Ovis aries: one gene and its partners. The protein of the gene in region 2 interacts with the protein of the main gene of each other region in a biochemical or structural test. Links are inferred from orthologs where the notes say so. Each region holds a gene or a part of one and is shown on either strand. Other genes may lie near its edges.

Region 1 (3,726 bases), on a different chromosome or scaffold from region 2:
CCAACTAAAAGCAAGCTATTTTCTTTTGATTTTGCAGTTCTTTGAGTTTGTCACGCTGATCCCGTAGAACAGTAATGCACTTTTCAGTCTCTGCTTAAGTCGGCATATTAACCTTGCCTACAACACCCTTCACCTCCCTCTTGTTTTCAACCCAGAAGGCCCATCTCAAATAACACTGCGCCCATCTCAAATAACACTGTTTTATTCACTCAACAAAATTCAGACTGCGTATTGTATGCTGAAGCAAGGTGCTGGCACCTCAAAATAGTGAAGGATTGGATTTAAACACTACCGAGAAATTCAGACTAATTCAGATTCACAGTCTTTTGTACTGGCTGAATTTTCTCTTTTCTCAATCTCAGAGCAGATTTAACACACTTCAAATATTGTATTGTCTAGTACTATAGGAGTTTGTATCAGTTATTTCAAGATATTACTTATAATATTTATGTCGTCATGACAGATGCTGGCACTGTGGCAATATGGGCAAGCACTATTTAAGCTGCCTCCAAATTTAGCTTTTACGAATACATTTCATATTTAGTCCTACTAATATTTTAGCTCATTCACAACAGTTTAACCATAGATGAAAACTATTTTGTATTTCTTACCTTTTAGTTCATCTCTGGCAAAGAAGGCAGCAAGACAATCTTGCAAGGTTACTATTGGACCCCAAAACCAGCTAGGGACACATGAGACAACAAACCTGAAACATCATTGACAGAAAAAAGAAAGGAAATGTTCTGCCAGTACAGCAGAAACAGCGTTTTAACAATGAACTAGTAACAAAGAAAATGCACACATACCTCTTCACATACTCCATGAAAAAAGCTATCCACCCTTGTGGAGCATATGCTTCGCCACATGATCCTGCTTTGACTATAGATGTTGGATGACTTGATGAATGCAGCTTAGCAAGGTCTTCCTTGCCAGGAATCGGCAAGGACAGATCTTGAAAGGTCTCGAGGGTTACAGACACCTAAAATTGTTTTGTGTTTTAAGAATGGGATGAAAATAATCCAGCACAAACACCTGAGGACAGATTTTAGACGGCAAAGATCCAAGCAAATTATAATAAGGAAAAAAACCAAAACACCAAACTGCTTTTTATAGTAGTAACAAAGCAAAAATAGTAACAACTAAAGCAAAACTGCTTTGTACCAAGAACTGTTCTAAATTTAATCTTCACACAAACTATAACTACTAACATCCCCATTAGTCGAGAACACAGTGGTAAATAGAAGTACCTCATACCCAGCCACTGTAGCTTGAGGTTCAAACTGTTTATCACTACTGCATTTATTTTTGAAAATGACCTCTAGTGATAGTTATTCAGTGTAGTTTAAAAAACAAGATGCAAAACCTAAACAGCTGAAAATATTTCAGGATAATTCTATTTAAATGACTGATACCAAAATAGACTATTGAAAACCCTTAGATTTGACTTAATTCTAACACAATAACAGAAAACCTTCTTGGGGTTATTTCTTAATTTTGAGATATGTCATTTTACATTTAATTATATTCATCACTATACTGAAGCAAAACCATTCTTAAAACCTCTAAGAAATTCAGGAATTTAGAGGTATTATTAAAAATCTCATGATGATATTAATTTATGCTCTTCTGTATACACCTGATACTATTTTTATTATCTGAATCCAATCTTAACATGAGAAAATATTTACAAATCATACAACCAAGTGAGATGATACATTCATAGCCTTGTACAAGTCAGTAACAACTGTTTCCTACTAATTTCATCAGCCTTGGGAGAATATGCATGTGTTTCAAATTCTGGTTCCTGAGCAACATACTCCTTTATTTGTGACCAGAGACGAAGAACGGAGTTAATTCTTCCTACTAATGTATGCCTGTTCAATGGCAAGTCAAGACCCATCCTTAAAAAAGTATGCTGCTTTACTTCCAAAAAACAAGTTCTACTCTTAGAATCAATTTATACTTATGCAAACACCTGAAATACATGTATAATCATCAACAGCAAAGAGAAGGAATTAAAACTACTCACACCATCTTGTCAGTTTTTTAAAAAGCATTTGAAAGAAATTTCCTGTGTATTATAATCCTCACATACTCACCCTGTCACAAGTGAGACACTGAACTGAACTAATGATTGTTCCATCAAATATGTCTGAAATAACACTTCGGTATTTCTTGTGCTGTTTTTTTCTCTTTGGAGATAATGCAGATTGAACTAGGATTGAAAAACAAGTACAGAATAATTTTTTCTTTTAGAAATCAAAATAGTTCCTTTACACTTTTTCTGAAACTATTAACAGCAAAATTACTCTGCTGAAAAAAATCTGTCAAAATACCATTCAAGAGCACTACCTAAAGAAAACACAAAAAACAACCAAAAATCCTCAAAGAGAAACTGTGATGAAATAGAAAGGGTTCAGTCTCCCCATCTTGACTTCAACCAAAACAGTTTTGCTTTTACTTATTTGTTGTTGCTTCCAAGTAAGGCTTTATTTGAAGAAAGGATTCTATTAAGTTTTTTAGAGGTCTTTATATATTCTAGATACAAGTCCTCTGTCAGCTATGTGATTTACAAATATTTTCTCCCAATCTTTTCATTCTCTTAATAATTTTGCCAAAAAAGATTTTAATTTTTTTTATTTATGGATCATGCTTTTTATGTCTTTGATGTCTTTAAATAATTCTAACACAAAGTCATAAAGACTCTTTAACTTCATGCAACATTAAGCATAAAACTAACATAAAACCCAATCATCCTACATCCAGGTGTTTATCCTGAACAAGTGACAATTCATGTTCATACAGAAACTAGTACATAAATATTTATTTGTAACTGCCAAATACTGGAAACAAATTCAAATATCCTTCAGTGAGTATATGCACTCACTGAGTTCAGTGTATTACACAGCATAGTCACACAATGAAATATTAAGTAACAAAAAAGGACTATTCAGACATGTAATGTGACTGTATCTCAAATGCATTAAGCTAAGTGAAAGCAGCCTATTTCAAAAGACTATGTTCTTTATGATTACATGTATATGACATTCTGGAAAAGGAAAAACAACAGGAATAAAGAACAGATAGGGCTGGGGCTTTGGGAGGGAATGGAATAGTACTATGGATGAAACAGTACTATGAGGGACTTCTTTGGGGAGCTGGAACTGTTCTACACTGTGTTTGTGGTGGTGGTTCTAACAATCTATGCATGCGCTGAAACTCAGAACCCTATGCCAAAAGAGTAAACTCTGTCATACATAAATTTGTGCCACACACACAAAAATATTTTAAATCATGGCTGTATAAAATGATGCTGTCAATTTTAAAAAGCCTGAATAATATTTCATAATTGACACTTTAAACTATCAAAGCAAAGGAACCTGAGTAACTGAAACTTCTACCTTTTTTGTGTGTGGGTGGCAATCCTGGCCACAAATTGCCTGATTTAGGAGGGCTTGCTGATAATCGTGGATTAACACCTTCATTTGATGGGAGGATCTGTGGTGTAGACAGGTCATTCAAATGGACATCAGTAATATATTCTGTAATATTTAAAATTTGTATTATTACCTTAAATAGTAAAATTATTCCACCTGTCAAAGAAAGCTTTTTTCATTTGAGATTTTGAACACAATTCACAGTAATAAATGTCAGGTGAAGTACACAACAGACATTATGCTTGCTAAGTGAGTAACAGTGATTTTCCCCCTAAGAGTTCAATTAATG
Region 2 (4,300 bases):
ATTCTATTGTTCATCTTCTCTCCTTGATTAGTTTCAGTCTATGACAGTGTGCCCCACTCCCTTCACCCTCCACACTGCCCAGAATTGTCTTCCTAAAGGAGAAGTCTCATCATGCCACTCCACTCCTTGCCTTAAAGAGCAGATCCACTACTGGATCCACGTGTCCTCCTCCAGGGGAGGCTCCTGGCTCATTTCTTTAGCTGCTGAGCTGCTCCTGCTCAGTCATGTCCGAGTCTTTTACGATCTCATGGACTGTAGCCTGCCAGGCTCCTCTGTCCATGGGATTTTCCAGGCAAGAATACCAGAGTGGGTTGTCATTTCCTACTCCAGGGGATCTTCCCGACACAGGGATCGAACCCACATCTCCTACATTGGTAAGTGGATTCTTTACCACTCCATCACCTGGGAAGCCTCATTCCTTTACCTGCTATACAAAATCCTTCACACCCTGTTCCAGTCATCCTCTTCAGCCTTCTCTCTCCTGCCCTCTACTCCCACAAACACCTCATTATAGGATGTGCCTTGCTTTTCTCTGTCTTTGGAATACCCTTTCTTAACTTCTGCCCACACTTCAGAAAGATTATCCTCAAACGTGCCCTCCTCTGGACAGCCTGCTCTGCCTCCATCCCTCCCCAGCCAAGCTCTGGGAGTCACTTTGTCTTCTGAGTCATACCTCTATTATAGCATTCCTGGAATCATAATATCTCTTCATATGTCTCCTCAACCATACGAGGAAGGCAGGGGTGATGTTAATTCATGTCTGAGTTCCCACTGCCTAGTATAGTGATTAGCACAAAATAGACATGGATAGATGTATGGACGGATGTATGCATGAATGGATGTTAACTTCGATGAATGGATGGAGAAGAGTAGTAAGAGAATTTAGAAGTAACCCTGCGAAGATCAAAGAGAGACACCAGAGGGAGCTGACACACCACAATAAAGAAGTGGGAGGGAGGGCCAAAGACGGCTACAGGCTCCGGGGTGAGCGGCGCGCAATAGGCGAGCATCTCGCAACTGGAACCGCTCACCACCTGTGCATCCCCTTATCCTCCTTCCTAGACTGTGTTCGAGCTCACCCACTGCCCCCACCACCCCCGTAGCCTCCAACGCCACTGAGAAAGCAAACAAAGGGGAGGAAACCCCTGCAGGGTGCTTGATGCAGGGAGCCAATCAGAATGCTTTAATCTCCTGGAAGGCGGGCGCCTCCTTTTGAGGGGGCCCAGTTAGTTCCTAAACGGGTGCGGAGGGGCGGAGAGATGGGCGGGAGTAGCAGGGTGTAGAGACCGCGCGCGGGGAGGGATCCCTCCGCAGGGGTCGGGGTGGAGGGCGGAGGGGGCGGGCGGAGCCAATCACCGCGCGTGCCTGTAAGGAGAGGGAGGGCAGTGCCGTGGCGCGCGCAATCCGGCTGACGCATCTGGACTCCGTTCTCCAGATCCAAGTTGGGAGGGGGGAAGGAGAGGCGGGGGTAGTGGAGAGAGCGCGGGGGCGCGCGTGCGCAGTGGCGCGGGGAGGAGCAGGGACCTGGCAGCGGGCTAGGAGGCTGTGAGCTATCCGCGAACCGGGCGGGCGGCGGGCGCGCGCACCATGGGGGAGAAACCCGGGACCAGGTAAGAGAGGTGGGGCCATTCGGCGGGACGTGGACGGCGGCACCGGGCGGGTGCCGGGACGGTCCTCAGACAGGAACACCAGGGAGAAAATTCGGGGGCCGGACGCCTGGGTCCCTAGGGGACAGCCATTCGGGGCCGCACGCCTAGGTCCTCGAGGATAATGAGGGGAAGGCATGCCACAGTCCCTGCAGAAAGCGAGGGCTGAAGATCAAGAAACCTGCATCGGGCTTCTCGCAGAGATGTAGGGGGCCGGACGACTGGGTTCTCCGGTGCAGCCTGCGTTGCAGGGGCGGAGGAAGGAGCAGGTGGCCGGCCCGGAGGGGACGGGTGTGGGCAGACTAGATGCCAGGGGCGGGATCCCCCGAAGACTCGTGCCCAGCCACTTGAAAGCCTCCTATCCAGTACCCCACAGGCAGTCAGACTGCCCCCACCGGCCCCAAGGGCCGGGTGGCTCTGCTTCCAAACTTCTGCTTTCCCCCGGGTTGCTAGGAGCAACAGCTTCATTTTGGGGGAGCAAAGAGTGCTTGACGACCCTCCCCAATTCTGGGCCTTATCCCTCTTCCCGTGAGTGAGGGGAGGCTGTATCTGCCCAGGGCACGCCATCCACTCCCCGGATGTTTTCTGTGCAATCGAGGCTCCTTCCTTCCACTGACACCCCGAGTTCTCTTTTTTGGTCTCTAGCAAAATCCACTTCCTGTTGTGACCCAACACCTCCGGGGGTGAATGCCTGAGTCTCTGGGGAGCAGGAGCAAAAGAGGGAAAAGATTAGGGCTATTTGCTTCTCTCCAGAGAGGATCAGGAATGGGGGCCTGGTTCTGAGCTGTCACTTGTTCTGCAAAACATTTTACCAGCCCCACAGCTCCCCACCCATAGAATAGGAAATCACAGGTTCCCGAACACCCAGTCGATTGATACTGGAGAGGTGATCAGAAGGAGGACTGGTGTCCTGGATTAGGGGTTAAACACAGCAAAAGGGGAAGTCGCTGACTTGAGGGAGGCCCCAGATTTCCGTTATGTGGTTCAGGGAGGGGGACGGATGGACCACACAGGGACTGCTGACTTGGCACAATTCCTCCCACCTCCATCAAATTCTGGGCCACAGGAAATGGAGAGAATAGCAGGAAGTGTGAAGGGGCATCTGCTTCTGCTGCCCCCTCACCCACTCGGCACCTCTCAGGTCACCCCAAAACTCCGCCTTCTTGGCCAGCCTCACTATACACATGCTTGCTCCTCCCTAGCAGGCAGGAGGCTGGCTGGGTTAGGATCCAAAGGGCAGGTGCCCTGCAGCTGCTTCAGGGCAATTACTCCAGAACCACACTCCAGTTGTCCAACAGACTGTGGCTGTCCCAACCCTCTGCCAAGGACTCCTAATAGGAAGAAACACTGGGACAGAGAGGAAAACCAGAAGCAAAGGGGAGGGAGAGCTGAAGGCTGCCACAGCAGTCAGCCCCCAGGTGGGGACAAGAGATAGGGTGCTTATCCTAGTTCCCACCATACCAGTGTCTGCCCTCCTTTCCTCGATGGGGGTACCTGGGGGCCTCTGTACCCTATGCCTTGTGGTCTTTGGATAGCTTGGCCTTCTGGGAAGAAGGGGCATGTGACTTTGTTACAGTGGATGGGCCAGGTGGCAGGATTTCAGTTTCTACTACCTGGGGACCCTTCCTGGGTATCACTGCTGAGGCAGAGTGGATTGGTAGGAGTAAGGTGGGGCAGCAAAGAACAGGCCCACAAGTGGCCAGGGCACAGGGGTTGCCAGACATCTCCCTATCCTCCCAGCAGTGGGTGGAGTCCAGGCTTAGACCATTTCAGCAACCAGAAAGCGGAATCTCCTTCACTCCAACAAACATAATGCCAAGAACAGAGGCAGGATAGTACAATCATTTAGTGATGAAGAGCCAGAGTACCTCTGTACCCGAATTCCACCATTTACACTCTCCGTGACCTCAGGCAAAATACTTGACCTCTCCTGGGCTTCAGTTTCCTCACCTGTAAAATAGGAATATTAGGACCTCCATCACTGGGTTGCTGAGAGCATTAAATGCAGTCACACACCTGAAACACTTGGCACACTACAGGGCATGAACCATACACCCATAAATGTTAGGAAGCATCACGGCGTCTGGCTTATGGCTGCAACTATGCTGGGGATGCCTGAATCAGTAAGGCCTCTGTTGCTCACAGTCTAGTGAAATACATGATACACAGCTAACTGCACATTATCACACTACATGTGTGCTAAGTCCAGTTCTTTGTGACCCCATGGACTGCAGCCCACCTGGCTCCTCTGTCCATGGGATTCTCCAGGCAAGAATACTGGAATGGGTTGCCATGCCCTCCTCCAGGGGATCTTCCCGGCCCAGGGATCGAACCCTTGTCTCTTACATCTCCTGCATTGGCAGGCGGGTTCTTGACCACTAGCACCACTTGGGAAGCCCTATCACACTACAGGTAAAGCATAAACAAGGTGTGACAGAAACCCCAAAAAAGGGAGTGACTAGAGTGGGGCTGGATCTACTTTCTAAAGGAGGTGACATCTGAGCTGGGCCTTGAAAGACAAATAACATTTTAAGCTGCTGAGATCAGAGACAGGGACAGTTGGAGGTTAATGGAGAGTAGGGTCACACTTAGAAACCTCCCATAATAGAAACCAATTTAGAGCCACTGCTCTTTCCAGTATTCCAGCTCTTGTG
Region 3 (3,726 bases), about 16 Mb from region 2:
GAATCTGTTTATTACTGACTTTTAAAACAGGTTGAAGAGGAAAATGCGTTTTTCTTGCTTTTTGCTTTTTTTTTTTTAAGAACTCTTTTCAGTTTTGTTTCTTGGTAACATAATGCCATTCTTTTTTTTTTTTAAAACCATAGGTGAATCCAAGTCGACTGCCGGTGGTTATTGGGGGATTACTTGATGTTGATTGCTCTGAAGATGTCATTAAAAATTTGATTCTTGTTGTAAGAGGTCAATTCTCTACTGATGAGCTTGTTGCTGAAGTTGAAAAAAGAAACAGGTGTAGTACTATTTTAATATTCACAAGTAGGATAAATTATTAGTCTCTCCTAGCATTGTATTAAATAGAAGTATAACCTGTCCGTTGCCTAAAACTACTCAGTACTCATGGATCTTAATTCCCTAGAGATGCCTAATTTAGAAGTGATAAGCTAGCTGTAACTTGCTGTATACGGCTGTCATATAGAATATCTGTTAATCTAGTCATTCACCTTTTTTTGATTAATTAATTTTAATTGGAGGATAATTTCTTTACAATACTGTGGTGGTTTTTGCCATACATCGACATGAATCACCCATGGGTGCACATGTGAGTCCCCTTCCTGAACCCCCCTCCCAACTCCCTCCCCACCTTATCCCTCTGGGTTGTCCCAGAGCATCAGCTTTGAGTGCCCTGCTTCACGCCTTGAACTTGCACTGGTCATCTGTTTTACATACAGTAATACACATGCTTCAGTGCTTTTCTCTCAAGTCTTCCCACCCTTGCATTTTCCCACAGAGTCCAAAAGCCTGTTCCTTACATCTTGTGTCTCTTTTGCCACCTTGCATATAGCATCTTTACCGTCTTTACTGTATTGGTATTTCTCTTTCTGACTTACTTCACTCTGTATGATAGGCTCCAGTTTCATCTACCTCCTTAGAACTGACTCAGATGAATTCTTTTTTAGAGCTGAGTAGTATTCCATTGTGCATATGTACCACAGCTTCCTTATCCATTCATCTGCGTATGGACATCTAGGTGGCTTCCATGTCCTAGCTGTGGTAAACAGTGCTGCAGTGAACATTGGGGTACACGTGTCTCTTTCAGTTCTGGTTTCCTTGATGTGTATGCCCACCAGTGGGATGGCTGGGTCATACGGCAGTTCTGTTTCCACTTTTTTAATGAATCGCCACACTGTTCTCTGTAGTGGCTGTACCACTTGGCATTCCTACCAGCAGTGTAAGAGGGTTCCCTTTTCTCCACACCCTGTCCAGCATTCGTTGTTTGTAGACTTTTTGATGGCGGCCATTCTTATAAATGTGAGATGATGTCTCGCTATGGTTTTGATTTGCATTTCTCTAGTAATGAGTGTTCACCTTCTTTTTGCATGTTTATAATTACATTAAGTCAAACCACACAGCTATGTGTTTTTAATGTAAACTATGTAAAAAGCCTCCTTTTAGGTATGATACCTAGTAACTAATTACTCTCTGGTAAATAATCAAGTATGACAAGAGAAAAACATTCCCTGTATAACTCTGAGTTAAACTTATTTTTAAGTTGAACCTTGATATAATATGAGTTAGGAATTTCCAATAGAAGAGAACATAATATGAGTGCTTCTGATAGTTAGATCATGAAGTCTTTTTTTTAGCCAGGACATTGTGTGTTCACAAAGTGCTGACATAGTAAATGAGGTTAGTGAGAAGTAATGAGGTTAAGTAGGAAGTTCCTCTAGCAATGAAACCATCTCAAGAATAGGGTTTAATTTTAACCTGAGTTGGTACAAGTGTTCTACTAATGGAAATTTATAACATAATTTATATCTAAATGTTTCAAGCTAAATGTTTCAGAAAATGTTTGAAAAATTCTGCACTTAAGGACAATGGAGATGTAGAATATAATACTGAGTTTTATTTTTTTAAAGCTTGAGACTGATTTAAAGTGATTATTGTATAGTTGCTAAGTCGTATCCAACTCTTCTGTGACACCATGGACTATAGCCTACCAGGCGCCTCTTTCCGTGGATTTCTTGTAACTATTTAACATGTTATTTAAACCATGGTAAGAGTGTTGGTCATCTGAACCATTGGAAAATAAGCTATAACTTAGCAAAACCATGGCCCTTGGTGGAGTGATTGATTTTATGACTGCTAGAATTTTACCAGATTTTGTTCCCAGTTATGTGTTTACTTACGTTACTGCTTCTTTTTGCTGTATGTAATGTTGCATGGTAATTGTGGTAAAATTAAAAGGAACCGCAGATAATGTGGCTTGTTTTCTCATACCACATCTCTGTCCTACTCCTAAGCAATATTACTCAGAGGTCCAGCCATTTGCCCCATATGAAAAAGAATAATCTGTGAATCTGTAGTCTCTTCTCTCCATATCCTGTCTAGATAATGTAGCAGATAGGTCTGGGAGAGTATGAAGGACAGTCTTATATACCTTCTGTGTAACATTGGACAAATCCTTTAACCATCTCTGAGTCCTAATTTCTCAGTTTCTGATAGAAATGTTGAGAATTCAAAATAGGGTATGGGAAAGCACTTTATAGACCATAAGGTACATAGCATGTCAAGAGTGTGTTATTTATAATATAGTATATGTATATGTGGGTTTTTTTGTGTGTTTCTTTTCTTGTTTTATTTTTTTACTAGATTGAAACTGCTTCTGCCTTGGCTGGAGGCCAGAATTCATGAGGGCTGTGAAGAGCCTGCTACTCATAATGCATTAGCCAAAATCTACATAGACAGTAATAACAATCCAGAGCGGTTTCTTCGGGAAAATCCTTACTATGACAGTCGTGTTGTTGGAAAGTATTGTGAGAAGAGAGATCCGCATCTGGCCTGTGTTGCTTATGAGCGTGGCCAGTGTGATCTGGAGCTTATCAATGTGAGTACTGCCAGCTGACATATAGAGAAGACAGCATTTTTAAAACCTGTTACATAATGTTAGACTAGTGAATTTTGAGAGTTTCAGAGTGGTTTTAGGTAATATGGAGCATTTTTAGAAGGTACACGCTTTTTTTAAAAAAAACTGCTGATAATTATGAACTTAAACTGGCCAAAGTAGTTGATTACATTTATATTCACCCATTGACATTTACGCCCCGGTTTTATCGCGTATGTTCTCATACACTCATATGTACACATACATGTATATATTTTTTACATATACGTGTATATGTATAGGCACATCTAACCTTTTAACCTTATGAGAATAAGTTGCGTACCTCATGGCTTTATAACCCTTCAGTGAGTATTTCCTAGGAATAAGGGTATTCTCTTTCATGACCACATTATGGATAGCAACCTCAGTCAGTCTGATACTGGTAGAATACTGTTAAAAATCTGTTTCGTTCTGATTTTGTCAATTGACCTGAGAATGTTTTTTAAAAGAAAATTTTCCCTTTAGTCTAGGATTACATACTGCTTGTACGTGTCATATCTTTCATGTCTCTTTTAACCTGAAACACTTCTTCAGCCTTTGTCTTTTAGTGACAGACATAATTGGAAAAATAGTCTTTTTCTCTTTTTTTATTGAAGGTAACATAACATTAGCCATTTGAAAGTGAGTAATTCAGTGGCAGTTAGTACACATACAGTGTTGTGTAACCATTATATCTCTCTTGTTCGGAGTTCTTATTCCAAGTGTTCATCACCACACGAGGAAATCCAGTACTCACTAAGCAGTTGTCCCACATTCCCTACCTCCTTCCAGCCCCTGACAGCCTCCAA

The links.
Region 1: of the proteins of ARRB2 (region 2) and USP33, one has a biochemical effect on the other in vitro, tested with the Homo sapiens proteins (2 studies listed by BioGRID, with this or other methods). The link is inferred for Ovis aries from reciprocal best matches to the Homo sapiens genes ARRB2 and USP33.
Region 3: the proteins of ARRB2 (region 2) and CLTC form a complex in vitro, tested with the Homo sapiens proteins (3 studies listed by BioGRID and IntAct, with this or other methods). The link is inferred for Ovis aries from reciprocal best matches to the Homo sapiens genes ARRB2 and CLTC.

The regions. Positions count from the first base shown.
Region 1 is NC_056054.1:54,179,441-54,183,166, forward strand, and holds part of USP33 (ubiquitin carboxyl-terminal hydrolase 33), read right to left. Parts: intron 3,543-3,726; coding exon 3,402-3,542; intron 2,216-3,401; coding exon 2,100-2,215; intron 980-2,099; coding exon 807-979; intron 707-806; coding exon 612-706; intron 1-611. UniProt on the Homo sapiens protein: Deubiquitinating enzyme involved in various processes such as centrosome duplication, cellular migration and beta-2 adrenergic receptor/ADRB2 recycling.
Region 2 is NC_056064.1:26,521,472-26,525,771, reverse strand, and holds the start of ARRB2 (beta-arrestin-2), read left to right. Parts: upstream 1-1,500; 5' UTR 1,501-1,587; coding exon 1,588-1,610; exon of another isoform or gene 1,611-3,596; intron 3,597-4,300. UniProt on the Homo sapiens protein: Functions in regulating agonist-mediated G-protein coupled receptor (GPCR) signaling by mediating both receptor desensitization and resensitization processes.
Region 3 is NC_056064.1:10,332,175-10,335,900, forward strand, and holds part of CLTC (clathrin heavy chain 1), read left to right. Parts: intron 1-143; coding exon 144-286; intron 287-2,646; coding exon 2,647-2,881; intron 2,882-3,726. UniProt on the Homo sapiens protein: Clathrin is the major protein of the polyhedral coat of coated pits and vesicles. Two different adapter protein complexes link the clathrin lattice either to the plasma membrane or to the trans-Golgi network.